Linked DNA regions of Nothobranchius furzeri. The protein of the gene in region 1 purifies or fractionates together with the protein of each later gene. This does not show direct contact. Links are inferred from orthologs where the notes say so. Each region holds a gene or a part of one and is shown in the gene's direction. Other genes may lie near its edges.

Evidence for each region.
Region 2: the proteins of h2ax (region 1) and wrap53 purify together in Homo sapiens (affinity purification with western blotting; 3 studies listed by BioGRID). This does not show direct contact. The link is inferred for Nothobranchius furzeri from reciprocal best matches to the Homo sapiens genes H2AX and WRAP53.
Region 3: the proteins of h2ax (region 1) and gon4lb purify together in Homo sapiens (affinity purification with mass spectrometry; 3 studies listed by BioGRID and IntAct, counting the BioPlex papers as one, with this or other methods). This does not show direct contact. The link is inferred for Nothobranchius furzeri from reciprocal best matches to the Homo sapiens genes H2AX and GON4L.

Annotation. Positions count from the first base shown.
Region 1 is NC_091750.1:47,424,293-47,433,698, forward strand, and holds h2ax (histone H2AX), read left to right. Parts: upstream 1-4,679; 5' UTR 4,680-4,702; coding exon 4,703-5,209; 3' UTR 5,210-5,631; downstream 5,632-9,406. Other genes in the region: phospholipid transfer protein C2CD2L, read left to right, coding at 941-1,042, 1,326-1,459, 1,873-2,086, 2,365-2,618. UniProt on the Homo sapiens protein: Variant histone H2A which replaces conventional H2A in a subset of nucleosomes. Nucleosomes wrap and compact DNA into chromatin, limiting DNA accessibility to the cellular machineries which require DNA as a template.
Region 2 is NC_091742.1:83,808,394-83,818,453, reverse strand, and holds part of wrap53 (telomerase Cajal body protein 1), read left to right. Parts: intron 1-1,432; coding exon 1,433-1,528; intron 1,529-1,671; coding exon 1,672-1,780; intron 1,781-5,147; coding exon 5,148-5,236; intron 5,237-6,328; coding exon 6,329-6,552; intron 6,553-7,798; coding exon 7,799-8,010; intron 8,011-8,095; coding exon 8,096-8,199; intron 8,200-10,060. UniProt on the Homo sapiens protein: RNA chaperone that plays a key role in telomere maintenance and RNA localization to Cajal bodies. Specifically recognizes and binds the Cajal body box (CAB box) present in both small Cajal body RNAs (scaRNAs) and telomerase RNA template component (TERC).
Region 3 is NC_091745.1:66,363,919-66,373,978, forward strand, and holds part of gon4lb (GON-4-like protein), read left to right. Parts: intron 1-1,358; coding exon 1,359-1,581; intron 1,582-1,984; coding exon 1,985-2,071; intron 2,072-2,230; coding exon 2,231-2,417; intron 2,418-2,522; coding exon 2,523-2,673; intron 2,674-4,331; coding exon 4,332-4,482; intron 4,483-4,552; coding exon 4,553-4,669; intron 4,670-5,062; coding exon 5,063-6,109; intron 6,110-6,194; coding exon 6,195-6,423; intron 6,424-6,503; coding exon 6,504-6,661; intron 6,662-6,788; coding exon 6,789-6,986; intron 6,987-7,097; coding exon 7,098-7,241; intron 7,242-7,329; coding exon 7,330-7,626; intron 7,627-10,060. UniProt on the Homo sapiens protein: Has transcriptional repressor activity, probably as part of a complex with YY1, SIN3A and HDAC1. Required for B cell lymphopoiesis.

The DNA of each region.
Region 1 (9,406 bases):
TAATAATCAGGGGTGCACATAATATTTTTGGGTTGGTACTCAGGGGAGAACCTATGGTTGTTGCTTGGTCCTCACATTTTTAAATGCACTTAATAATTAACCCAACTCACAATAGAAACAAAACAGAGTAACGCGTTGATGATGCAACATATTTTAATTTTGACTAAAAACATTAAGTACAACAGGTACATATTAAAAACTTCTCATTTTAAAATAACATGACTGAATTGTCTGAATGTAGAACACAAAGTGCAAACAGCTGCTTTTGTGATAACAAAAATCAAATAAAATTAATTTTAAAGCATTTAACAAAATTCCTATTTCAGAGCACTGAAGTTTTTTAAATGGCATAAATGCCGTTTTTATTTCTACAGACTCTCATCATCCTCATCATCCTCCTCCTCACTATCCCGACTGGCTTCCTCCAGTTCACACACAGCAGAGGACAACTTTCTGATGTTGTCTGCTGTTAGTATGTTTATCAAACGCTGGATGATTGAAGTTTTCAGTGCCTATGTAAAAGGCGCCGTTTTTGTCTGCCAGGGTGGGATTTTCACGGCATAATCTGCATCACGTCTCTGTGCGTTCATTGTTTGTTTGAAGCCAGCCGACCTCCTGCAGCCTCTTCTCCGCAAATACTCTTTTCTTTTGCGGTTCCGACTCAGTCTGACGTTTTTTTGGAGGCGGAGGAACACCAAAATAATTACTTAAAGGACATTTTTAAAATGCTCCAGAAATGTCTTTCTTCCTCCACAAAATCTTTGGTGCGCAAATGCGTGCTGCCGCTTTTTTTCAAGTGCACATTGTTTATTTTGACAGCGCATGCGCACCTGCGGACCACTTGTGTACACACCTGTTAATAATGCACTAAGTAACGTTAATAAAAGGACCCTTGTTGTATTAAGTGTTAGAGTGATGTCAAATGTTCATGCCGTTTCAGGTGACTCGCCCTTGTCTTCTTCATCCAAAGTGGAGGTGAATGAAAGCAAAGCCACCGTGGTGTCTGATGACCGGGACGGCAGCGGCAGCCCCAACCCGAGTAGTGAGTCCAGACTAAAAACCCGACATTGTTTCACAAAACAGATGCAAAGCAGGATAAGCGGCGAGCAGCCGTGTAACCTGAGTGGAGAGGAAAGCACTATTAGGCACCCTTAATTCCCTCTGAGCGAGTGCTGCTCTACCCAAACCCACAGAATACAAAAAAACAATAAAATATGCTTTTTTTAAAGGTTGTGAAGTGTCAGAAAGCTCAGCTTGATCGTGTTTTTGAGCAACTGGATCGAACAAGCAGCCCTGATTTCCATATTTGTGTTTTTGCTGCACAGAGAGCAGTCGGCTCTCTAACGGCCTGGATCCCGTCGCGGAGACGGCCATTCGGCAGCTGACAGAGTCGGCGTCCAAAACAGCAAGGAAGACCCCAACAAAACGGAGCACACTAATCATATCCGGAGTGTCAAAGGTCAGAGGACGCTGTTCCTTCCAGAATTACACATGAAACATCTCTACCTTTTAGCGATGAGCCGTTATGATTCTTTGTAGCCCTTTGAGATGTTGGAAGTGAAGTCTGATAAGGATATAAAATACTCACATGGACGCAGGCGAGAGGAGTGTGATCTAAATTTAGTCTCGCATCACAGCGCCCTACTACACTAGTAGAACGAGTCTACTGACCTGATTGTTGGAAGAAAATTTGTAGAAACCCCGTGTGTGTCTGTGTGTGTGTGTGTGAAGTTGGTGCCCTTGACACAGAAGCCACTGGAAGCGTCTGCTTTTATTAGTAAAACTAAAGAAACTGATTATCATGAGAGCAGACCTTAAACAAGCTTCCTGTCTTCATACATAATAAATGATTTGATGTTTGTTGCATATCAGGTTCCACTCACTGAGGATCACTGTGCGTTGTCAAGCGGCTACGCAGCATCCATGGATGCAGCCATGCACGGCAACCATTACAGGGGAGGTCATCACCAGGACCCGGATGAAACCACTCCCTCTGAGGTGTCGGAGCGTCCGTCTGTGGACGATGTAGAGTCTGATACTGGTTCTGCTGGTGCCTTGGAAACCCGCAGCCTGAAGGATCATAAAGGTAATAATGTTTGCTCATTGTTGACATAGAGCAGGAATTAAAAACTCCATGCAGATGTTTGCTAAATGTATTAATTTAAATAGATTTATTTTGCATATTGTTTTTTGTCAATAAAGCATAATTTCAAAGTGTCACTACAAACTGAACAGCGTTACATAACTTCTAAGGATCACTGTGCTGATGCTGCCCCCTGGTGGTTTTCACAATGATTGCTTTACATTGGATAAATGGTGATGTCATATAATCAGTAGATAAAGTGATGTACCTGCTTTCTGCAGTGGGCTTTCTCCAGAGCGGCTCGAAGCTTTTGTTTCGTAGAAAGCATCGAGAGAAGGAGCCTTGCCTCAGCCAGTCCCACGAGGACATCTCCAACATTGGCAACAACTTCGCTGCTCCAGCTGCAAGCAGCATCCGTAAAAAGTCTGGCAGCTTCTCGCGGCGTCTCATCAAACGCTTCTCCTTACGCTCGTCTGGCAAGTCAAAAGGCAAAGCTGCTTCTACGAACGGAGGAGCAAGTTCAGTGGAGAACTGATCGATATCACGAAGGTCGTTGTAGCTCAAAAGGAGCTGCTGGAATCGCTGAACACACACTGTGGGCTGTCACCCACACTTCTAAGGATGCCGCTGGGAGGGATCCTGTCTAGAAACAAGGAATTGCACCTTCAACACAGAAGTCCTGTGACAGCAATGCTGGATCTCAAATGTGATGATGAACTCTTTTTGTTTGTTTGAGGAGACAAAATCGTGCTGCTTGGTGAGAAGGAAGTCACTACGATGAAACACTCCTAACACACACTAGAGGGTTTGATCAGAATCGGTGGTGGATATACTCAGACTAATGATGTAAATGCACTTTGGACTGATGCTTTATTTGTTTTTTTACAGCACATGTAAAATTTTGTTGGGTGTAAAATGATAATTTATTATTCTGTGTGATTTATAAACCATATTATTTATTTCATCAACCCAAAACAAGTCATCCTCGCTGCATTGCACTGTAAAATAGTGACGTTGGCATTCTTTTCTATGCAAATTTAATTTTGAAGACCTTTAAGTAAGTTAATATAACTTTCTCTGTTAAAATGTGTTGTTTATTTGTGATTACTTAAAAATTACTTTTAAAATTCATGTTTAATCGCATAAAAAGCAGAGAAGATGGTGTATTTATCGTAATTTTGTGTGATAATTATTTTCTGTGGAATATCATAACTATGGTTTGATTTTGATAGTTCAGTCAGCAGGCATCTCGTGCTGGGCAATAAGCTTAATCTGTAAAAAATAAAAAATAAAAATAAAGAAAGACTATCAACTTTAAAAATAAACATGTCGGTAAACGATTTACAATGATCAGGTATAGCTGAGTTGCAGCAGCTCAGTGCTTCACTAAGAAAACATATTTTACAACAAACAGTCACACATTTGATTAATTTATATTACACAAACAGCAAAATGTTGTATTTAGGAGAATTATTGTCATAAACATATTTAATTCAATCCACTTGGACTGTCAGGGTTCAGCTCAGGCAATTAGAACCAAGTTTAAGAGTTTTTTATACGTGGAACTGCTCTCAGGGCTGGAAAAAAAATATTAACAACTAGACACACAAAATGATAATTGCTGCAGCAATCAGAACCAATTGTAAAACTGTACATATGATTTTTTTTCTCTTATAAAAACCTCATTTGAAATAACTGCAATAATTTTGGGACCTCATAACAACCAAAATCAATTATTCAATTACTGTGTTTTTAAATAAATATTTAATCTGATTAAATATTATCAAATGGACATGCCAAACATTAAGCCAGTACTGTATGGACAATACTGTCAAACTAATTAAAAATGCAGAACAGATCAAAACCACTCTCCTGCCTGAAAGCACACATACATATACATGTAGTGATATGTGAATGTAATTTGAAAAAGTGGCTGTAAAATTCAAGATGTGAGGCCCCAGTTATATTTTGAAAATGTAATTTATTGCAAATAAATTATTTTTCAACCCTAATGTTGATTGTGCACTTAGTTAATATGGTCTTGTTTTTGTAAAAGGTATATATTTTTACCAGTAAAATGGTTATTTGCTGAGCTGCCTAGGATTAGCTTCGTCTCAGTGGGGGAGGATGGTGGAATTTTCCATGTCTTGCTGGCCCTCCCTCACACAGTTTGTGCAGTGTAAGCTTACTTCAAGCACATTTTGCGCATTTTAATAAATTGTCCTCATGTATAATTGTGATACATGTGTCACCACATTTCGATCTTGGTCAAAAACCCTGACAACATTATTCAATACTTTACTGTATCAATACTCATTAAATCGCTTGAAATGTTCACTTTTCGTTCGGTAACGCGCCAAAACGTTTAAAGCTGGAGGGAAGACCGTCTATTGGTCTTCCTTCTGACACGTGACCCGCGTGAAACTGGGTGAACAAATAAACAACCAATTACCTTTGTCTATTGGTCAGACTCCTCGATGATTGGTGTAGAGCCAGAGCAGCCAAACCAATAGTTACTGGCTTCCTGGAACGTTTGATCTCCTAAAGCCAAACAAATGAGAGCTTCTCTCTCTAGCATCCAATAGTAGTTTGGGGCGGGACTAACGTGGAGGCTTATATATGGCTCGGCGAGCCTTTTTTCTTTCTACTTTGCGATTTTCTGCATTGAAATCATATTCGTGGAAGAGATCTTCAACAATGTCTGGAAGAGGTAAAACCGGTGCTAAGGCCCGCGCCAAGGCGAAGACCCGCAGCTCCCGCGCCGGTCTGCAGTTCCCTGTGGGCCGTGTTCACCGTCTCCTCCGCAAGGGAAACTATGCTGAGAGAGTGGGCGCCGGAGCTCCTGTTTACCTGGCTGCGGTCCTCGAGTATCTCACCGCCGAGATCCTGGAGCTGGCTGGCAACGCCGCTCGGGACAACAAGAAGACCCGAATCATTCCTCGCCACCTTCAGCTGGCTGTCCGTAACGACGAGGAGCTGAACAAACTGCTCGGTGGCGTGACCATCGCTCAGGGAGGCGTGTTGCCTAACATCCAGGCCGTCCTCCTGCCCAAGAAGGCCGGCCAGGCAGCACCCAGCTCCGGCAAGGCGGGAAAGAAGGCGTCCTCTCAGTCTCAGGAGTATTAGCTTCACGGCTAACCACAATGAACCCAAAGGCCCTTTTAAGGGCCAACCACCGACCGAAAGGGCAACTTTTCTAGTTTATCAATGTCGCTCAAAGCATATTTTGTTTGGGTTATTGAAGGCTTGTGTTAAGGTAATTTCTTTCAGGCTAGATCCTTTGCTAAGAAACAAGATTAGGCTAAATTTCCCCAGTTAGCCTGAAATGTCACTTGAAAATCTTCATCCTGAGTTTATTTTTCATCCTTGAATGTTATTTAAAGTAGCAACTCTTCTGCAACTGACCAGATCCAATGCTAGCTGCACACACTGGCAACTAAACATTTGTTATGCATTGCACTCAGGTTCTCAGGGCTGCTGTATGTTTTCATCATGTGAAACGCCTGTTCACAACAAAACGGTTTCATTAAAAGTTCTGCAAGACAACATCTGTCACCTGGAAACGTGTTTGTGTGGTGGTGAAGTCTCAAATGAAATGTACTAACGGCTGTCTATTCAAGCAGCTCCAGGTGTTTCCTTATTGCACATGGAGAAAAACACGCGAGCAGATAGTGTTAACATTCATGGCTTCCTCTGTGGTTTCTTTTACACGTTTTTCAGTTCTTGTCCCTGTACCACTGACTCAACTTACTGGACTGAGGGGTGATGAGCAGTCCGATAAAAACTAACTTCAGAATCCCTGCAGAAAAAATAATAGTACTTGCAAAGTAGTAAATTGCCTGTATTTGTATAGCCCTTTTACCCCAACCCCCCCCACACACACACACACACACACACACACAGTCATTCACCCATGCACGCACATTCACGCTGGTGGTGATGGAGATCCGGTGTAGCTACAGCTGCCCTAGGGAACACTGGCAGAGGCGAGGCCTGTTGTACACTGGTTCCTCCGACCACCACCAGACAAGGTGGGTTAGTCGTCTTGCCCGTGGACACAACAGCAGCATTCTCTGACAGCAAGGGTCAAACCTACAACCTTCTGATTACTGGACATCCCACTCTACCTCCTGAGCTGCTGCTGCGTGTCCAAATCATCACTTTCAAACATTAAAAGAAAAATCTGGAAGCTGTGTATGAAGACATGAGGAGTGTTATGTTTGCTGAGGTGAAGGTGGGGATGTTGTTCACTGGTTTTACCACCAGAGGTTGACTGCTTCCTGTGAGATCTGCACGTGCTTCATTCTTCCCCATGTCTTCTTCCATACTCTTACTCCACATGAAAAGTCTACGACAGATGTGTGAAAGCTTCATCGTGTCCACACAGCACATCTGACAGCAATAGTTTATACGTAGGTGTCCCAACAGATGTGGTTAATTCAGTTTACCTGAATTCATGCACCTTTCAGCCGGAGGGTCTGGTCCAGATTTCATTTTTGGTGATGGTGTTTGACGATGAATGACAGCAAAATCTGAGACATTTCCATTTGCTTTGGCTGTTTTATTGATGGCAAAAGCAGCAAACTGAACCAATTACCCGGGCCTTGACAACGTGTCCAACACCAACATCCGGCCTCAGAAAGCCAGATGGTTAACCCAGACCTTAAATTCACCGCTCTGCCTGCTTTCAGCTGTTTGTGGCTAAAGGGTTCATGTGGAAGCAGCATCCAGGACAAACCAAATTTAGTCAAACTTACATTCTGTAAAATGTGCTTCTGGGGAAATCTAGAGATCTAGTGTTTTTTAGTGATAAACACAGCTGTGTTTCGACTTAAACGGGGAAAGGAATGAAAAGTGGGAAGAGAAGGAGGAAAAAAGCTGTGGAGAGGGTTGGACCTGGCAGGGCGATGCACCAACACATTCACTTTGAAAGCAACTCTGCAGGCGTGCAGAGGGAACGTTACGATTCCATCCCGGAGACAACCGGGGGAATTTTCTCATGAAGTTTTGGGAGCGTGCCTTGCCTTGTGTTTTTAATTTTGGAGGGAATCCATCCATGGAAAAGAAAATGTTCTTTGCCAGCTTTGGTAATTAGAAACAGAGCATTTGTGTGTGCTGTGGAGAGATACAACAGAAACATTGTTTATGCAGATCTAACATGACCCAGTTCTGATTTTCTCCCAGCGGACTTACTTTGATACGGGAGCAGGTGGAAGTCACCTGGTCAGATTTGTGAAGGATGCTTTTCTTTTTGCGTGAGAGCGATGGCTGCCTGTGGAGCTTAGGCGTCTAGCAATGTGATTTGGTGTTTGCCTGGAGGGAGTGTGAGTTGCGCATGAACCAGGGTGAGTGTGTTTTTAACTTTCTAAAGAAGAGAAACACATTCTTGTGTTACCTGTGGCTAGATGTGACAGAGGGATGAGTGGGCTCAATGGAAGATGCTGAATCTTTTCATCTTTGAGTTATTCGGAAATCAGTTACTATCTTCTGGGCTTCTCTGCTTAGGCTACTGCCCCCGCAACCCCACTCCGGACAAGCAGCTGAAAACGGATGGATGGATGCTACTATCCTTTCTCCTACTAAAAGATCTCAGCTTTGTGTGTATGTTTAAATTGGCATCAGTTCTTTAGACTGGTCGGTGTTTGTCCAACAGGCTGGATTTGAGAGGAAGTGCTGACTGAGAGCTGTTAAGTGAATAGGTGCCACCTAATCTGGTTCTCATCAGCCTCAAGACAGCCTGAATGTGACTTATCTTCACTCAGTGATGAGTAATTGTTCCCCTTGTCCTTCCACCTGTCTGCTGTTATCTCCAGCCATCCTGCAGGAACCTGGGGGTCTCAGCGTCTCTGTTCAACTGAGAAGTGCAGGTAGAAGAAGAAGAAAATATCATTTCTATAGCGCCTCTCAAGATAAAAATCACGAGGCGCTTCACAAAAACAAGAAATGTAAAAATATAAAAATGAATTTAGAAAATGGTTAAAAATACATTTAAAATGAGCAAAAAATAGACAATTGTGATTAAAAAACAAAATGTTAAGGACGAGAGAGTGAATGGGAAAGAGGGAAATCAGTGGATCCTGAGGAAGGTGGAATAGGTGGGGAGAGCAGAATAACGAGAGAGTGGTGAAGAAGGTCATACAAAACCAGCCTGAACAGGTGAGTCTTCAGCTGCCTTTTAAAGGAGACCACTGAGTCCACTGATCTCAGGCTCAGAGGGAGAGAGTTCGAGAGTCTGGGGGCCACCGCAGCAAATGATCTGTCACCTTTGGTCTTTAGCCTGGTGCTGCACAAGCAGTAGGCTTTGATCACTGGAACTCAGGGACCTGCTGGGGGTGTAGAGACTAAGAAGATCACCAATGTAAGATGGTGCTTGTCCATGTAAGGCCCTACAGACCAGAACCAGGATCTTGAAATGAACCCTGAAGTTGACTGGCAGCCAGTGAAGCTGGAGGATTAGCGGGGTGATGTGGGTGTGTTTGGAGGACTTGGTCAGAAGCCGAGCACAGGCATTCTGAACCACCTGTAGACGGTTCATGGAGGTTCTGCTCAGACACGTGAAAAGAGAGTTACAGTAGTCTAAGCGTGAGGAGATGAAGGTGTGGATAACTGTCTCAAGTTCAGAGCGGGACAGAATGGGACTCAGCTTAGCAAAGTTCCTGAGATGGAAGAAGGAAGAGCGAACAAGAGAACTGACATGAGAATCCAGGGTGAGAGCTGGGTCAAAGGTCACGCCAAGATTCCCGATGGAAGGTTTGGTGTGAGAAGCAAGCTGACCAAGAGAGTCTCTGACTTTGGGAACCAGCTTGTCTGGGGCACAGATGAGGATCTCAGTCTTATCTTCATTCAGCTGAAGAAAGCTCCCAGCCATCCAGGTTTTGATAGAGTCTAAGCAGGTGTGTAACAGCTGCAGCTTAGACATCTCATGGGGCTTAAAGGAGATGTACAGTTGGATGTCATCTGCATAAAGATGGTAGGAGATTCCTTTGAAGGAGCTCAGGATGTGCTGAAGAGGAAGCAGATAGAGGAGGAAGAGCAGAGGCCCCAGCACAGAACCTTGTGCAACACCATGGGTAAGGTAGGTGGTGGAGGACCTAAACTTGGAGACAGCCACAGAAAAGGAACACTCAGAAAGATAAGAGGAGAACCACTCCAGAGCAGTTCCTGATAGGCCCACCCAGTCTCTCAGGTACCACAAAATGTTCGATCAGAGATTTCTTACCTACTGTGGGTTCTTTTCGAGTCACCATTTGTGAGCGTGCACCATTAAAGCTGTCAACCACAGAGCGCACCGTTGCAAAAACTCCACAAATGTTGGAAGTTTGC
Region 2 (10,060 bases), on another chromosome or scaffold:
TGCTTTCGACAATCCTTGTTATTGTGTGAGACAAAAAAGTGTAGAAATTAAAACGGACGGGTGTTAATAGGGAAACAGCTGGCGAGCCATGTTTGCGCATGCGCCGTGAGCGGTTCTGGTTCTGTTTGGGCCGCAGCCGCTCTCATTTGTTTACAGTTGAAGTGCTGAAGTTTTGAAAACTAAATTTGAATAAAACTTGAAGAATAACTGGCAATTGCGGGCTCATTTTAAGAGGTCTTTCATATTTTATAACATGCTGTTTGATATAATGGTTTACAAACGCAAAAGGGTAATTTATTAGAGTACTCGATTAATCGATAAAATATTCGATAGAGTACTCGATTACAAAAATATTCGATAGCTGCAGGGCCCTACAGCAGACCCCAAAAGGTTAGATAAAAACATTTGACTGGAAAAAGCTCACAAAATGTCTGAGAGAAATAATTAAATTGGTCGTTCAAGAAAATATTTCAGAATTATGTTATTTTTTTAAGCAAATCTAATAAAAATGTGTTTTTAAGCAGAATTTTGAAGTTAGTGTTTTTGTTTTTAACAGGGTATCTGCAGGTCCTTAAAAAGTCTTAAATTTGCTTTTCTACATTTAAGGCCTTAAAAATCCTTAAAAATGACAAATAATCCTTAAATACAGTTTCCAAAGGTCTTAAATTACCAAAGACCCAATGAACAGGAATTTCTAGTTAGTCTTCAGCATTTTTTGTGTATGATGTTGGCGTAAGCGGAACCGTACACATTCAGTTGGTTGTGAAAGGGGGCCATTTTTGGATGAGCACATTAGCTGGTTAAGCTAGTGGGAGTTTGTGCCACGGGGAAGTGCAAGTTTAATGGTAACTGGGTGGGTAATCCCACGTTTACAACGTGGTTAGCACTGGTTCCAGACAATAGCTGGAAATTATAGCTTAAATTTAATTTTAAAAAAATTGCTTAAATTTGGTCAAAGTTTAAAAAGGTCTTAAAAAGTCTTAAATTTGGCTCCCTTAAACCTGCAGATACCCTGTTTTAACCTGCTTAGTTGTAGCGCACCCATTAGGCCGCAGTGAAGATTTGTAGTACGTTTGTGAACAAAGCCATAAAAAGTTGAGTCAAAAACATCACAGAGCAAATAAAAAATACAGGCAAACATATATAATCAAATAAAAATGTTGGAGATGAGAAGTACATTTTTTGACTAAATAAAACAAACTTTAGTAACACATGTTTATTATTGTTTAATGTATTTCTGTTTCTAAATGCTCTTATTTTGAAAGGGCATTTGTTAAAGCGGTTGTTTTCTACAAGATGCAGCTCTTTTTTTCATGAGTAACAGAAAATCAAACAAAGTGCGAGTACTGGTTTCCAGCTGAACGGATGACTTTCCCCTGGATCATTCGTTCCACTCAGTTTCTGCTCGCTCTCGTCTCTGTTCTGCTTCCAGCCTGGGTTTGGACTTCACCCAGAACCCCACCATGCTGACGGGCTCCTGGAACGAGTACTCCAACTTTCCAGAGAATTACCTCAAAGGCTGCAAATGGTAACCTCACTGGTGTTTAATTACTAAATCACACGAGTAAAAGTTCATATTTGTATAAAATCGGGTTTATTTTGGTTGTAGCTGCATTATCCCTGAGCTTTGTTCTCTGCTTGTGTCATCCCCCCCTCCTCTTCCATCATCAGGGCTCCTGATGGCTCCTGTATCCTAACGAACAGCGCAGACAACGTCCTCCGTGTTTACAACCTCCCGCCAGAGATCTACAGCTACAGCTGGGACCTCCTCCCTGAGATGGTGAGCTGGGTTTCTGGGTAGAGAGCTTTAACTTCTGCAGAAGCCTGTTGAACACCTGCTGTTTTACATCAGGTGTGCTGGAGCAAAGTCGCATCTAACACATGGAGAGCAGCAGCTGTCGAGGGCTAAGATTGGTCAAACCCTTGAGGAAATGTGTGGCAGAAAGCAGTTCTTACATCTCAGTAGAAACACGGAGGCTGTGCTTTGGTAGTTTAGGATCGCTGAGCAGGAATAATTGACATGTAATCCATTTTCTTCCATCCCAGAGACTTCAGATCCTGTATTATAAGGGTGGAAAACGTATTTCTCTACCAGCCCTTTTGGGTTTTACTCTTATTAAAAATCTGTTATGTTGTCTTTAAACTGCTGCTTGAAAAATTTACAACCCTTCATCTCTTTTAAGGATTTGGTTTCCTGGCAAGGACGGGATGTAAATCATCAGCTTTTCCTGCCCAGAAAATGATTTATGACGTGTCAGCTGATGGTTATTTAGGGGAAAAGATCCAATAATACGAAACCTTAAATGGATCATTAACTCCACATAAAACACCAAAAAACTCTGGACTCTTGGTTCTGTGATTGTATTAAAGACGTTTCTAACTGGTCTCCAGTTTGACCAGTCGAGTTCTGACTGTGGTGCGTTTAAGGAAGCAGATTTCCATAATGTGCTTCTCTGTGAGTTACCTATGAGCAACTTAGCTTATCTGATTATTAGGCATGTTCCGATCCGATCATGTGATTGGACCTGATTTCCGAGCACGTTTTTTAATGGATCGGAATCGGGTTGGAAAAATTGGATTTAACCAAGTAAAAAAAACAAACATTCATCCATCCGTCCATCCATTTTCTTATGATTATCCGGAGTCGGGTCGCAGGGGCAGTAGCCTAAGTCAAGAGGCCTAGACCTCCCTCTTCCCAGCCATTTAGTCCAGCTCCTCCGGGGGAATCCCAAGGCGCAAGGAGCAGCGGGTCTACTCCGAGCCCCTCCCGGATGACCGAGCTTCTCGCCCTATCTCTAAAGGAGAGATATAACAAACATCACTTTTTAAATTCATCCCAAGAAAGAGATTTTCAATTAAAAAAAAACAATGAATAGTTTCAATTCAACAAGTTCCTTTTACATCAGTATTTTTGTTCCACAGACAACAATGCTGTAAAGTCCCACAATTTAAGGTAGCCCAGGAATTCATGCTCCATAACATGTAGCAGTTAGCTAACACAGAGCATACTCGTCGTCTCAAGAGACAAAAAATGTCTGTAATTTGGATGATAACACTGACAGCAAAGGGAGTGTAATAGACACGTGTAATATGTGAAAACTGGGCATTTAGCGTGGTGGAAAAGGTAGTGCTGCCACCTTAAAAAACCGAACCCTTCTCAGTTTGCTGCAACAAACACGAATAAAAGATATGTTAAGAAGAAAAAATAGTCTACGGACTGCAAAAAATGGGACGATATTTATCACATTGGATGAGTGTTTGTGGTTTTGCACTCTTGTTGAGTCACGGTATGATCTGCTTTCTCTTAACTTTACATCACTTCAGCACTACAGGTGTTTTGTAGAAATGGGTGACCCTACTGCTGCCGTCACCGTGCCGTCGCTCAAAACAGCCACACTGAGTAAACAATTTGAAATATGAGCAACAAGGCTACTTTTACATATATTCTTAATATTAGCAAGTTTCTTAATAATGTACTTCATAAACAAGGGATAATTTGTGGCAGATAAACATAAGAAATGACATAAATAAAGAAAAGCATTAATGATTAAAAAAGAAAAAACTTGGAGAACGCTAGTGTGTTCTCCATTTTTCTAAATGCATTTCTAAAGTATCAGACTGGGACTCGGTATCAGCAGATTCTTAAAATCAAATGACTCTGAATCAGATTGGGAGCAAAAACCATGATCATGACGTCTCTACTGATTGTCCTTCATTTATTGAGTTTGAGTTGATTTTTGAATCTATATTAAGGTTTTTATGCTGTTGTCGACAAGCTGTTGTTGATTTTTTTCCTCCAAACTGAGCGTTAAACATTTGTAGTAGGACTTTAATAACAGTTAATAATGAAATAGTGCAATGTTATTTTTTTTCTTCATTAGAATAATGTGTAAATAGGAAAACAACTTCATCCCGGACAAGCCCCCACTTCTTACCCTGGCTGATCAGCAATGACAAAAACTGGGATAAATGCAGGATTGAAGGAAAAAACATCTTCTTCACAATGAAGATATGTCAAAAAATGAAAAATAATACTTTGTGACTCTAGCGCTGGCTTTCCGCCATACTCGTAAGCAGTGTGTGACTGTTGGTGTGCTTTGGACACATCTCTGTTGAGTTTTGAGTTGCTTTTATGCCCCAGGTCTATTTTCTTTATGCTATGCTTTCACCCGAGTCAAGATCAGTAGTTCAGATTGGGCCAGACAGGAAGTGAAATACAGAGCAGTGTAGCATCTGACAGATTTCAAAATAAAAGTCACAAGCACATTTCCAGTTGCTTTACTAGTTAAAAAAAAACATCTCATTACCTGTACTTCTGTAGCTGAGGTAAAAGAACAGAAAATGAACCAGACCTTTTGGATACTTGCTGCCATCTTTATGCTCACTGGAACTAAACAGCTGGAATCACACGCAACTCTCCAGACATTTGTGATCTCATAGGATCAGCTGCACGAAACACTTTTGCTGCGACTAAGCATCAGAAACGTTTCTGGTAGGAATGGACACGCTACTGATGTTGTGGTTAAAACGTGTCTTAACAATACACACCCAGTGGAAAACCCGGGTGTGTTCTGGTGCCTCAGACCAGCCCATCTGTGACAAGCTGCTGAAACATAGAAGTAGAATAATAGATCAGCCTCACACACTGACTGTTTACCAGTGTGCTGGGCTTTAGGATGGTTGTTTTCTGAAGCTAAGAAGAAACACATCTGTTTCCTTCAAAGTGAGCTTTAGATAAATAATGTGTCTGTGATGCCCTCAGAACTGAGATTTTATTTGTTTAGCACATTTGAATAAAACAACTGAAGAGCAGCAAAGAACCTTAGAGTCGAGGCAGACGAGAACAGTGCAGCATAAAATAGAAACAACAAAAGCAGAATAAAATATACGTACAGAACCCATGCTCTTTCAGTCAGAACCCAGAGAGAGGTGTAACCTAAACTTTAAACATGTAGGACTGCTTTACTTTTTAAAGCTCAGAACCTTTGTTGTAATTTTCCTTACAAATAAATAAACAGCAACACCAGCCTTCTGATTTAGGTGTTTTTAATATTTAAATGCGTTTTCTGAGATTACATCCAAAGATGATTCAGCACTCGCTGCTCCTGTGACCCTATGTTCCTGTTCTTGTCTCCCTCCTGTTCCAGAGTCCGGTTCTGAGGATGGCTGAAGGAGACACCGTCTACGACTACTGCTGGTACCCCAAGATGAGCTCGCTGGAGCCGGACACGTGTTTGTGAGTGAAGTCCAGAACTTTTCTTTAATATTATTAGTTTCTCTGACCTCATTTCATCTTTGCTTATGTCATAAAAGTTGATTTTTGTGGGAAAGCGTATCTGATTGGTCCGGGAGACACCCAAACATCCACTCAGGTCTCTGATCTGAGCGTCTTTTTGTTGTAATGGTGACATCAGTGGTTCTGGTTCAGCATCACCACCCGTCGCTGGAGATCATATGTGGTAAAAGGACCGCTCTAATGAGCCGGGGTCAAGCTGCCAGTAGCTTTCAGCTCGTTTCCTCCTCGTCCCTCGGCTCCCGCCGTGTCTCAGTAACAACCTCCATCCACCCTGCGGCGGTTTCCTCTGATCAAACTCCGGCTCTGATGCCGCTCCACTGTGGCAACCCCAACCAGGGAGTGGGGGGCAGAGCTGGAGCCGGGAGATGGAGAGATGAAAGCTCAGTAAACAGGATCAACAGACGTCTCATGTGGATGGAGTGGAGAGGTGTTGATGCCAGTCATGCTGAGGCGCGGAGCGGCCAGCAGGAGGCGACATGCTCATCCTCAGATCATCTCATACAGGTGGTGGGATGTTGCAAGGGTTTATTAAAGACATCAAAAACCACGTCAGCTTCTCTCATCAGCATCCCTCCACCCTCCTTGAGCTCAGCCGAAGCTTCGTGTTTCCCCCTGTAGAGCGGGAATATTGGTCTCTGTTACGGCTCGGTTAAGTCGCCCTGACTTCCAGGAAGCGCTCCAAGCTAGCAGCAGTCTAGCATTATAATTGGACTTTTCCCAGCTCTGGAATAAAGCCTCGGCATGGTGGGGGGGGGGGGGGGGGGGGCATGATTTTGGCATAACTGAACAGCAGGAGCTAATTTCCTTTGTCTGTTTAAGCCACACCGATGTTTAGTGTCGGGTGCTCAGTAACCGGACTTAAACAGGCTCAGACTCCAGCCCTGATTCATAAGGACCAGCTCTCAGCTGGTGGGTTTGTTTTGATGCCCTGCTACGCTCAGGCAGGTGGGGAACATTTATCTGTCAGAAGTTGTTTCAAAAGGGATGCTGACATTTTGTTTTACCAGCTCCTTCTGCTTTATTCCTCCCCAGTCTGGCCAGCAGTAGCCGTGACAACCCCGTGCACGTGTGGGACGCCTTCTACGGCGACGTGAGAGCCAGCTTCCGACCCTACAACCATCTGGATGAGCTGACGGCAGCGCACTCGCTCTGCTTCTCGCCAGACGGAGCTCAGCTCTACTGCGGATTTGAGAAAATGGTGCGGGTGTTTTACACGGAGCGTCCCGGGAGAGACTGCGAGGAGCGGCCCACCGTAGGTCAGTCTCCTGGGTTTTAGTCTAAACTGTGTAAACGGGCTGTCACGTACACAGCCGATGCCATTTAATGCTCTCATGTGTGTAATTACTTTAATATTATTTCCAGTAAAGTGCAAGTGACTTACAGGCAAATAAAGTTCACGGAGAACAAAACTTCTGACAGATAAAGGCTGAGTTACGGAGTCAGCTGTCTGGTCTTTTCAGTGAGCTGCCGCGGCCCGACAGCCCACCGTCTCGTCTCCTTGAAACAAATCAACACAACGACATTTTATTATGTTTCTCAGACAAAAACTAAGGAGACGTGTGTTGGCTGTGATGAATTCCTTCTGTCTGTCACACATTTCTAACCGTTTCTGTTTGCTCAAAGTGTTTTTAGTTGTTCTGACATTAACAGAGCTGCTCTGCGTGCACCGACTGTTACTTCTTTTTGTTATTGGAGTTCCTACGCCTGAATCAAGAATAATAACTTTTGAAAATGTCACCAAGTGAACTTTTATTTTTCTTCTTAAAGGTTGCTTTTTGTTCTCTTGAGTTTTGTCATTATTTATAGCATCAATGATAAAAGAAAGAAGTGACGGAAGTACAAAACGTGTAGTTTATGTAAAACATATTCAGCGTGATGCGAAACTTTACTGATTACATCGTAGCTGCAGACGTCCGAACTTCACCCGCCTTCAGATTCCTTTTTTACGTGGAAACTTCTCCAGCAGGCTCAGTGTTTATCAGGAGAGAGAGGACGGTAATAACACAACAGAAGTAAGTTAGCTAGCATTCAGAGAGTGACTTTTAAATGTAAACAACTTGTTTCTGAAAGATCATCAACCATTTTAAATCATCACGCTAACATGCTAGCATTTATGCTAACTTACTTTCCCTCCTACTGGTTGAAAGCGGAATTACAACTATCGTAAACAACACTGCCACAGCCTGCTGTAGCTAGCGCTAACAACAAGCTAACGCTTACATGAACCAGCTGATACTAAATAAGCCACAAAGTAAAAATATCCACACCAAATTGTAATAATTACACATAAACTACATACCAAATATAATCTTATCAATCAGATGGACCCCTAGGTCCCCTCAGGTTTAGGTTGTGGAGTCCGAGCAGAACAAAACAGTGGATTTAAACTTATAAACGTGTAATACATGGTGTCAGGAGGGATGTGAGAGCGGCTGAAGCAGCTCGTTTCAGTGCAGCTGAACAGAAAGTTGTGTAAATCATTAATCGTGTCTCTGTTGTCAGTGAAGAAACGAGGCCAGAGCGGCATCATCTCCTGCTTCAGCTTCAGCCCGTGTCTGTCCGTTTACGCCTGTGGCTCCTACTCCCGCTGCGCCGGGATCTACTCCTGTCAGGACGGCACCCTGCTGGCTCTACTGCCCACCCACCACCACGGAGGCCTCACCCATCTCCTCTTCTCCCCCGACGGAAACTACTTGTACACCGGCGGGCGCAAGGTCACGGGTCTCGGAAGCATCGGGGCACGAGCCTGTGTCCCAGAATCTGTGTAACAAACAGCTGTCCTTTTGTGTTTTTATGTAGGATCCAGAGATTCTGTGTTGGGACCTGAGAGAGCCGGGGAAAGTTGTGTTTTCCCTGAAGAGGAACGTGGCCACCAACCAACGAATCTACTTTGATCTGGACCGGTGAGTGGACTTGTGCTCTGTTTGTGGAAGGTAGGATGTTACAGGCTAGTTCTAGAGAGTTGCACTGTTCTCTTTGTCTGGTTTGTGATGCCAACAGGTTAGCAGTTACACACACACACACACACGCACACACACACACACACACACACACACTCCTCAGGTGTATGAAAAGGACAGAGACACCTGTTTTGGGGATTCGTTGGGTGTCACAGGCCACGGATTGAAGGAAGCAGGAAGGATGCCTGCTCCCGGAGGCATCACTTAACCCTTTAAGTGCCAAAATCGCAGAATTGCGACAAGCAGCAATGTTGGATTTAAAGCCACAGCAGCAGAATTGAGCCCTCGTGCAGTTAATACGTTACGCTGCGGGGTGGCAGACACCTGTAACTTCAATCCAAGCAGCATTTGCGGGTGTGTTACTATTGAAACTTTTCGAGTATTTAGCGCTTGAACCCCGCCCACCAGTCGCAGAGTCGCGGAGGTTGTAAGAGCGAGCGAGTGGTAGAGGAAAAAACAATGCTGAGAGGAATGTTCAGTGCTGACGAAGCTCTTCGTCTAGTACTGGCAGATTCGGATGATCTGCGGTCTTATAGCGAGACGAAAAGCGTGGCTTCAGAGCGCAGCAACAGGAAGTCTGTCAGCGATGACGCGGTTACACAAGCAGCCCATCCAGCCCTTACCTTGTCCGATGTCCCGCACCACCTCCGTGGGGAGGGATGTGGTGGTGGTGATCGGGCCGGTGAAAACTACACTGGTGATCGATTCAGCCCCAGGGGTGTAAACCGCGGGAATTGCAGCAGGAGGGGGAGGAACCGCGGGAAAAAAAAAAATCACTGCTAGCAGGGGGGTGGCCCAACACAGCCTCAGTGACGATAATAATGATGATGGCTGGGTTAGTTTGGGAGAAGAGGAACAGTATTCCAAGTGGATCAGGCATTTTGATGAGCCAGTTGGATAATGTGGAGACAGGGATCTGTCAAATTCAGAACATGTTGATTTTCTGTCAGTTTTTTTGGATGAGGAATTCTGGACCCTCATCACAACTGAAACTAACCGATATGCTCACCGGTATTTAGAGAGGGAGGAACTGAAATCTAGCTCCAGATATAATGACTGGTACGATGTAACTGTCCCAGAAATTAAAGCGTTCATTGACATTCAGTTCTGCATGGGGCTTGTGGAAAAGCATGAGATTGTGGACTATATATATATATATATATATATATATATATATATATATATATAATTATATATAATTATAAACAAAATAAACCAAAGAAGGGATGAGTGAAATGTGTTCATGACGCTGAAGCACCAAAATCAGTGTTCTTGATTGATATGCAGTAAACATAACAAAATACCAATAAAGTAATAAATATTATATATATACATACATAGTTATATATGTCTACATAGGAATATGTCTATATGTATCATAAACAATAACAACACTAAGAAAATAAGACAAAAACATACAAAAAAAATCTGCAAATGTGATGCAATCCAATATGGCTGCCACCTGATGACGTCACAATATGCATATTATGTGAGTGAATTAGTTCCTATCACAGAATTTGGCTCATACAGAAGATTTTTCTAATTTACAATATTCCTCTATCTCTAACCTGATTTAAGCTACAAGCTCTTTAAATAGTGATATAAAAAATTCATATTTTACTGAAAAAAACTAAAGGGTTAAATCAAGTTTACCATCTATGGCACCACTTGTCCCTATTAGCCAAAATCAGATAGGTGTGTGTGTGTGTGTGTGTGTGTGTGTGTGTGTGTGCGTGTGTGTGTGTGACCTCGTGGGGCAGGCATGTCCAAAGTGTGGCTCGGGGGCTGTTTACGGCCCTTAGAG
Region 3 (10,060 bases), on another chromosome or scaffold:
TTCTAGTGTGGGCTACAGATGGACGTAACCCTTCTAGTGTGGGCTACAGATGGACGTAACCCTTCTAGTGTGGGCTACAGATGGACGTAACCCTTCTAGTGTGGGCTACAGATGGACGTAATCCTTCTAGTGTTGGCTACATATGGACGTAACCCTTCTAGTGTGGGCTACAGATGGACGTAACCCTTCTAGTGTGGGCTACAGATGGACGTAACCCTTCTAGTGTGGGCTACAGATGGACGTAAGCCTTCTAGTGTGGGCTACAGATGGACGTAACCCTTCTAGTGTGGGCTACAGATGGACGTAACTCTTCTAGTGTGGGCTACAGATGGACGTAACCCTTCTAGTGTGGGCTACAGATGGACGTAACCCTTCTAGTGTGGGCTACAGATGGACGTAAGCCTTCTAGTGTGGGCTACAGATGGACTTAACCCTTCTAGTGTGGGCTACAGATGGACGTAACCCTTCTAGTGTGGGCTACAGATGGACGTAACCCTTCTAGTGTGGGCTACAGATGGACGTAACCCTTCTAGTGTGGGCTACAGATGGACGTAACCCTTCTAGTGTGGGCTACAGATGGACGTAACCCTTCTAGTGTGGGCTACAGATGGACGTAACCCTTCTAGTGTGGGCTACAGATGGACGTAACCCTTCTAGTGTGGGCTACAGATGGACGTAACCCTTCTAGTGTGGGCTACAGATGTACGTAACCCTTCTAATGTGGGCTACAGATGGACGTAACCCTTCTAGTGTGGGCTACAGATGGACGTAACCCTTCTAGTGTTGGCTACAGATGGACGTAACCCTTCTAGTGTGGGCTACAGATGGACGTAACCCTTCTAGTGTGGGCTACAGATGGACGTAACCCTTCTAGTGTGGGCTACAGATGGACGTAACCCTTCTAGTGTGGGCTACAGATGGACGTAACCCTTCTAGTGTTGGCTACAGATGGACGTAACCCTTCTAGTGTGGGCTACAGATGGACGTAACCCTTCTAGTGTGGGCTACAGATGGACGAGTTCTGGGAGAATGGCAGGGGACAGGAAAATCCTCTGGCCCTGTTCTCTCCGCTGTTGTCTCCATACAGAGTCCACCTTTTCAGAAATTTGCTTTTATTATATTTGGTAATAAAGATATTTACATACGATGACAGTTGCAGCAGAAAGTGACATCACTGATCTTCGCCAAAAGGTTTCCGCAGCTTCAAAGAATAATGAGATCGAATGGAAGAAGCAGGGATGTTTGCTTTGTTGTTAGCAATGGCTTCTTCCCTTCCACCAACTATCCAGATTTTAAATGTCGATTGTTTGGCAATGTTTGATTTAATTACAACCAATCGGCACCCTTTCCTTCTGTAGGTTTGAGGCTCCCTTAGCCGGACTGCTAACAGAACGAAGACAGACAGTCAGAAAACAATATGAAGCTCTGCAGCAGAGGAGGGCCCTGCAGGACACCACCATCCACCTCCGAAGCCCAGCGGCCAACGCTGTTACCTCTGTGTTGGCGCTACCAGGTCAGAGCATCCCCGGCCTGCGTCTGGACCGCACCCAGAAACTGCAGCTGCAGCAGCAGGTGCAGCAGGTACATGATCTACCTCACCCTCTCCCATGCCCTCATGCAGGTGAATAAACAGTACTTCTAAATACATGATGGCGAAGCTCACCCAGCTGTGGGGAACTCTAATCCTCCAGAATCAGTTTCCCTCTTTGATCGTATGAAACCGTGCAATTCTGATTGGTTCTGGTTTCCAGTGACAATGCAGAGAAGAAAATAAAATAAGCATCATATCAAAAGAAACGTCTCTACCAAACCTAATAGGGAGCTGTTTTCATTGTTCTTTGGGGATCAATGAGCTCAGAACCTCCCTAGTAGAACATGTAATCCCAGAGTGGAAGTCTGCACCTAACTGACTATAAGGAATCTAATGTTCATCCCCCTGGACCTTCAGGTGAAAGCATAGACTAAATGTTACTGTACCTTTCAGCATGTACAGCTGCTGACTCAGGTTCACCTGCTGAGTCGTCCCATCGGCGCCCTGAACCATGAGGCCAGTCTGACCAAACGTTACCTGGTGAGTAAACAGCCCTACCTTTCCCTAAAGGTTTCTGCAAAGCGACATCATTCAGGTGTGAGCTTGCTGCAATCCTGAACCATTTTCACACGCCTGATTTCATGTTTGTTCTTCAGGGATCAGTCTGAAATCAGCACAAACTTCATTCTGTTTTCCCAGGAGGAGCTCCAACAGTTTGCCAGTTGCCGGGAGGAGATCCGTCTCCCTAGCAGTTTTAAAGTGTGTAACCTGCAGAGAGCACTGGATCTCCTGCAGGAGGTGGAGCGGAAAGAGGAGTCTCCTCGTGCTCTTTGTGTTCCTGCAGCTTTCAGACGCTTGCTGCCCATGATGACACTGCCCACCAGCAGTAAGAAGGCCCCTTTGTTTCAATTTTTTTCTATGAAATGTACATATTAGTGTGTATTTCAGTCCACTGTGTGCATCTGCAACTTTTGGTTCTGGTTGTGTTCAGGTCATGCCTTCCCACTGCTGCCTGCTGACACTGCCTGGCTTTTTGCCACACGATCCATCTTCCTGTACCCAGAACTACTTCCTGTCTGCAGCCTCGACCCTGCACTCCACAGCAAGCGTCACAGGAGTTTTTACACAGCAGGAGAAGATGGGTACAGAAACACACAGTTGGTCCGATAAGTGTTTTATTACAGCTGAGATCAGATGTAATTCTAAAGGTTTTCAGGTCATGTTTTTGCGTGGCAGCTGCTTAAATGGTTGTTAAAAAAGTACATTTTAGATAATTTCACAAATCTTTAGTTTAGGACTGGCAAACAGTTAAAACATTTAATTCGATTAATCACGGGCTTGTTATGGATTCATTCAGATTAATCACAATTAAAAATCATTCTTTTTTGTCTATTAATCTCATGTCATTTTGCATGAGCAAACAGACTCGAGAATAAAGGGACTAACATGTTTATTGAACATCTTGAACAAAAAGTCTGTTGAAATCCACTTGGCGATTTAGTCAGTTTGTCCGAGGTAAACTTACTGAGGTCTGTTTGCTCGCAGCATCCCTGACTAACGATTGTTTCCTGTTAATGTGGTGTTTTAAGCTGGAAGTGCTTTGGTGAAAAGAAAATTCCCTCCTGCACAATGTGCATGAGACTTGATCTGTTGACTGTTCTGTCTTTTTTTTTTATTCGCCCAAGTTTCCCATCAAGAGGGACAATGTGCTGTTTAGCATCTTCAATATTGAGTTGATTTGTTCTGCAGCCCGTCACTACCAGATCAACTGTTAACTCTGGTTGGACAAATTGTCCAAAATGTGAAAATAGAAACCCTTCTGGGATTTTGAGTCATTCTGTGCAGCAGTTGGTTTAATTAGTACAAAATTTTGACTCGGATTAATCATGATGATGGATTATTCTGCGCTAACATGTTAATTTGACAGCCGTACTAAGTTTAGATCACTTTACAAAAGGTTCCAATTCAGATCAACGATTTAATGCAGTGTATCTGAGAGTTGAGAGCATGCTTGTTGATGCAGACTAGAGATGGGATGTGAGCTGGAAGAAAAGCAGAAATTCAGGGTTGAGCTAGAAGATCAGGAAGTAGCTGAGATCAGTAAGGATGAAGTGAGGTATAGAAGAGGTGTCGATAGGGCTGGGCATTAGGGGCCAAAACTTCTATCTAGAATCTAGATAGATAGCTTTTCCCACTTCTTATCTTGTTGAGCAGGGATTCAGCCAGGTACTGTACATGCAATCAAAATACCGAAACCGGCTAAATCTGATAGCCTCAGGTGCACTACGGCTCAAGTTAACATCTCTCAATCCATCCACAAAAACACTTGCAGCAAATCACCAGGGACAAGGGTCTCACTAATCTACCCACAGCGATGATGACTCCGCTTTAAGCAATTTTTTTATGATCCCTTTTTTTTATGACATATTTGTATTAAACAGTTTCAAAGTCTAGGCTGAATTGTTATTAGTTTTTTTTTCGTAATCATGATTTTTGTATCAAAAAAACTTTCCGTTTCTCTGCATTGGTGGGCAGTAAGGCATTTCAGCATAACTTAGGGGGCGTTTAGCTGAAAAAGGTTGAGAAACCCTGATCTAGATGTTTTTCTTGCTGTAAAGGAAAGGGGGAAAAATGATATTCTAACTTTGTGACGTAAAATCATCCTCTACGCAGCATGGAGCTATGAAAGCTGTGAATAAACTGACTGGAATCTCTCACAGAGAAGATTCACAGTCTTTTCTGAGGTAGTTTGGCTGCTGTTCTGCACTAACCTTCATCCTCCCATCATGCTTTGCTGCAGGCTGATTGTGCTCGGTTTGAAGCATTTTGAAGGGACGATCCAGTCAGATCAGCTGATTAGCTCCTACCTTCTCTGTAAAAGTCGGTGGAACATCAGGAAACATATTCGAGAGATGAGTGGTTCAAGAGCACCGCGGGAGAGCGTTATTAAGGTGACGTCATCGTGAGTGACATCATCACGTCTGGATTTAATAGTGCTAACGTTCCCGCTTCTGTCTCCAGATGTTCATGACACAGGGAGTTGTCCCTTCACTTCCACTTGCCTGCAGCAGAGTTCACCCAGAAGACCAGCGCCCCCCTGTGGACAGAAATACTTCTAACATGCCGAACTGGCTCAAGGTCTGTGGACCTCCCTCAAACCAACTGGTTAACCAACCCTAACTTATCGGTTTACTAACCTATCAGCGTCCTTTTTAGCTTTTCCTTTATAAACAGATTTTAGGCTAAATTACAAGTTTTTCTGTTTTTATATTATTTTAGTTTTAACTATATTTAGACAGTTTTTGTGTTTGCATTCCCTGTTAAATAGGATTTTATTCACCTGGTTTATCAGTTATTATGAGAAACTAATGTGTCCCCTTACTAACTAATTATTACTAACTAACTCATCCATCATGTGTGAAAGGACCCATCTGTCACCTGGTGACTAATCTGGGTAACCTGTCAGTTCCCTGTGAACTAACTCCGAGTCAAAAGTCACTAACACGTCACCTTTGTGGCTCTCACCTGCAGAACAGTCAGCTGATCATCCAGAAGACTCGACTGGGTGGCTCTTACCCCCCCTCCCTGCCCCCGGGCTGTTCCCTCAGACTTCACCCCTATTATATCAATAAGTCCCAAAAGCCTCGGGCCACTCCCAAGCGCCTTTTCACCCTGGCCCACAATGCATCTCTGCTTCCCCTCGCCAAAGCCCCAGTGGACCAACAGGTGGAGCCAATCAGCCACTTGTCCCACCCGTCTCTTGGAGGCACTGTAATTCCGGAGCCCCCTGCTGTGTCAGAAGCCTTACCAGTGGCCCTGTCTCCAGTCTGTGGAAGTTTCCCATTGGTCGCTGTGCTTCCAGGCCCAGAACATCAGACTGCCAACCTTCCTGTTGGCCAGAAGAACGCCGTTCCTCTGCTCCTGCCTCTCACGTCCATGTCCAGCTCCATGACATCTCCCAATGCCCCTTGTTCTTCTGCTAAGGAGGAGCAAAGTTTTGTCCTCGTGCAAATGATGTGGACACCACCCGCACCCTGTTCTACCACCGTGTCCCAGGATGCACCAGGATGTGCGCTCCACAGAACAGTCAATGTGGAGCAGCCACGCTCCATATCTGGAAAGGAGGCGAATGTTGAAGGGGAGGAGAGCTCTGCATCATCACTGAGTCCACTTTCATCCTGCACAGGAGACAAAGAGGAGGAGCAGCAAATGGAGGAACAGGAGCAGCATTGCGTGGAGGGGACCAGCGTAATGGCTGTCAGCTTCAACGGGGGAACTGGGGGAGGCAAGGAGGGTGGAGAGGGAGAAAAGATGGAGGAAAAGGGAGGCCATGAAGAAGAGGAAACAGGTGGGGAAGGTGAGGAGGAGCAGAGTGAAGAGGATGGAGGAAGGGAGGAGGGAGGAGAGAGAGAAGAGGATGGAGACAAGGACCAGCAGGGTGAAGAGGATGAGGAGGATGAAGAAGAGGAAGAAGAAGAGGAGGAGGAGGACTTTGATGACCTCACACAAGATGAGGATGAGGAAGAGGCAATGTCATCAGCATCGGAGGAGTCGGTGCTGTCAGTTCCAGAGTTACAGGTAAGCAGGAAGCTGTCAGGTGAGCGATGATGTCATTCAGATTGAGTTTTTCTGACCTCAGTCAGTGGCGTCCTACGTCCCGCAGGAGACCATGAAGCAGCTGACGTGGCTGGCAGCGGAGCGGCGGCTGTGTGTGGACGGGGACTCTGAGGACGACCAGTCTCCAACCTCGCAGGAGGAGGAGGACGAGGAGGAGGATGGGGTGAAAGGTGAGGATGCGGGAGATGGGCAGAGCTTCAAGGCAGGCTTGGACGAGGAGACGCCATCTGGAGAAGGGACTCCCAGAGGACGAAGGTGTCCAGGACGCGGACGAGGTCAGCCTGTGTCCGATGATTTCCTTTTATTTTCTTCTGTAGCTTGTAGCAAAACCATTCTCTCGACTTCCTCTGTGCAGGTCGCAGCCGTCCTTTTCGTGGTCTGACAAGGACGCGTCAGGAGCGTTTCAGTAAAGACGCAGCCAAACTGCTGCTGCTGTACGACGAGAACATTCTGGAGAATGATCCGCTCAGAGAGAGTAAAGATATGGCGTTTGCTCAGAGTTACCTGAACCGGGTGAGACGAAAACACCAGAACCTGCACGTGTTCGTGCCATTCTGTGTCCGATTTCACTGAGCAGATGGAGGCAGGAGCAGATTTTCTCCAGCTGGATTGATTTTTTTGTTGTTGTTGTTGTTGACAGGTCCGTGAGGTGTTGCAGGATACACCCGAGCAGGTGGAGGAGTTTGTGTATCTGCTGAATAGGTTTGAGCAGGTGGGAGAAGGACAAGAAGTGACTCAACTCTTCAGAAAGCTGCGCTGCATCTTGGGAAGTCACACGGATCTCCTCAGAGACTTTGCAGCCTTCCTGCATCCCGAGCAGGCGCTGCAGTGTGGACTGGTGAGCAGAGGGAGCACACAGAGTTTTATGGGTCTGCAGGTGTTTGTAATCTCACCTCATGTCCTTCAGCGTGTCGGACAACCTTCTGATTTTTGAACATTTCCGGTGCAGTTTGAGGAGCAGCAGGCATTTGAACGCAGCCGGCGTTTTCTGCGACAGTTGGAGATCAGTTTTGGAGACAATCCATCACATTACCAGAAGATCATCAAAGCTCTACAAACTGGACCCGACATGAACGCTACCAGCATCCAGGAGGTCTGGCTGATTCATCCACTTTTAGTCCAACTTGCCGAAACTCATGATTTGCTTATTGGTGTTAACTTGAAGCTGTCTCTGCCTTCAGCTGAAAACCCAGATGGGGACCCTCCTAAAAGGCCACACCCACTTACAAGCAGAATTCTGGGTATTTTTTGATGATCTCCGCCCAACCTCAGCGTGTCCCGGGCAGTTTGAAGAAGCCCACTGGCTGGAGGAAGGAGAAGGTGGTGAGGGCAATGGCCTTGTGTCAGGAAACGGAGCCAGTGGCAGCTTTGAGGAGGTGACGCTGCCAGAGCTCGAAGAAGAGGAAGAGGGGCACAAGGTCCAACCAATGAGAAGCCGGCGTCAGAGGAGGAAGATGGATTCTCACAGAGGCTACAAGGTATAGAGGAAAGCTTTCTTTTAAAAGGTGTTCGTTTTCAGTTTTAAGGTCGTCGTCTTCCTCCGCTTATCCGTCCGGGTCGCGGGGGCAGCATCCCAGCTAGGGAGCTCCAGACCGTCCTCTCCCCGGCCTTGTCCACCAGCTCCTCCGGCAGAATCCCAAGGCGTTCCCGGACCAGATTGGAGATGTAACCTCTCCAACGTGTCCTGGGTCGACCCGGGGGCCTCCTGCCAGCAGGACATGCCCGAAAACCCCCCCCAGGGAGGCGTCCAGGAGGCATCCTGACCAGATGCCCAAACCACCTCAACTGACTCCTTTCGATCTGGAGGAGCAGCGGTTCTACTCCGAGTCCCTCCCGAATGCCCAAGCTCCTCACCCTATCTCTAAGGCTGAGCCCGGCCACCCTACGGAGGAAACTCATTTTGTCCGCTTGTATCCACGATCTCGTTCTTTCGGTCATTACCCAAAGCTCATGACCATAGGTGAGGATTGGGACGTAGATCGACCGGTAAATTGAGAGCCTGGCTTTCTGGCTCAGCTCCCTCTTCACCACGACAGATCGGTTCAGCGTCCGCATCACTGCAGACGCCGAACCAATCCGCCTGTCGATCTCCCGATCCCTCCTACCCTCACTCGTGAACAAGACCCCGAGATACTTAAACTCCTCCACTTGAGGTAGGACCTCTCCCCTGACGCGGAGTTGGCAAGCCACCCTTTTCCGGTCGAGAACCATGGTCTCAGATTTGGAGGTGCTGATCCTCATCCCAGCCGCTTCACACTCGGCCGCGAACCTACCCAGCAAGAGCTGAAGGTCAGAGCTGGATGAAGCTAGGAGGACCACATCATCCGCAAAAAGCAGAGACGAGATTCTCCTGCCACCAAACTCGACACACTCCACACCACGGCTGCGCCTAGAAATTCTGTCCATAAAAGTGATGAACAGAACCGGTGACAAAGGGCAGCCCTGGTGGAGTCCAACCCTCACCGGGAACAGGTCCGACTTACTACCGGCTATGCGGACCAAACTCACGCTCCTCTGGTAAAGGGACTGAATGGCCCTTAACAGAAAGCCACCCACCCCATAATCCTGGAGCGTCCCCCACAGGGTGCCCCTGGGGACACGGTCATAAGCCTTCTCCAAATCCACAAAACACATGTGGATTGGTTGGGCAAACTCCTATTCTCCCTCCATCACCCTTGCAAGGGTATAGAGCTGGTCCACAGTTCCACGGCCAGGACGAAAACCACATTGCTCCTCCTCTATCTGAGATTCAACTATCGATCGGACCCTCCTCTCCAGTACCTTGGAGTAGACCTTTCCAGGGAGGCTGAGGAGTGTGATCCCCCTATAGTTGGAACACACCCTCAGGTCACCCTTCTTAAAGATGGGGACCACCACCCCGGTCTGCCACTCCACAGGAACTGCCCCCGATGACCACGCAGTGTTGTAGAGACGTGTCAACCATGACAGCCCTACAACATCCATAGCCTTGAGATACCCAGGACGAACCTCGTCCGCCCCCGGGGCTCCGCCGCTGTGTAGTTGTTTGACTACCTCAGCAACTTCTGCCCCTGAGATTGGACAGTCCATCCCCAGGCCTCCCAGCTCTGGTTCCTCCTTGGAATGCGCATAGGTGGGATTGAGGAGCTCCTCAAAGTATTCCTTCCACCATCCTACTATAGCCCCAGTTGACGCCAGCAGCTCCCCATCCCCACTGTAAACAGTGTGAGCGAGTTGCTGCCTTCCTCTCCTGAGGCGCCGGACAGTTTGCCAGAACTTCTTTGGAGCCGATAGACAGTTTTTCTCCATGGCCTCACCAAACTCCTCCCACGCCCGAGATTTTGCCCCGGCAACTGCCACTGCTGCACCCCGCTTGGCTATCCGGTACCTGTCTGCTGCCTCCGGAGACCCACAGACCAGCCACGCCCTGTAGGCCTCCTTCTTCAGCCTGACGGCTCCCCGAACCTCTGGTGTCCACCAGCGGGTACGGGGGTTGCCACCACGACTGGCACCGGCCACCTTACGACCACAGCTAGCAACAGCCGCCTCAACAATCTTAGAGTGGAACAAGGCCCACTTGGAGTCAATGTCCCCCACTGCTCTCGGGACGTGGTCAAAGCTCTGCCGGAGGTGGGAGTTGAAGACCGTCTTGACAGGTTCTTCTGCCAGGCGTTCCCAGCAGACCCTCACTATGCGTTTGGTTCTGCCAGGTCTATGTGGCATCTTCCCCTGCCATCTGATCCAACTCACCACCAGGTGGTGATCAGTTGACAGCTCCGCTCCTCTCTTCACTCGGGTGTCCAAAACATACGGCCGCAGGTCAGATGATACGACTACAAAGTCTATCATCGACCTGTGACCTAGGCTGCCCTGGTACCAAGTGTACCGGTGGGCATCCTTATGTTCGAACATGGTGTTTGTTATGGCCAAACT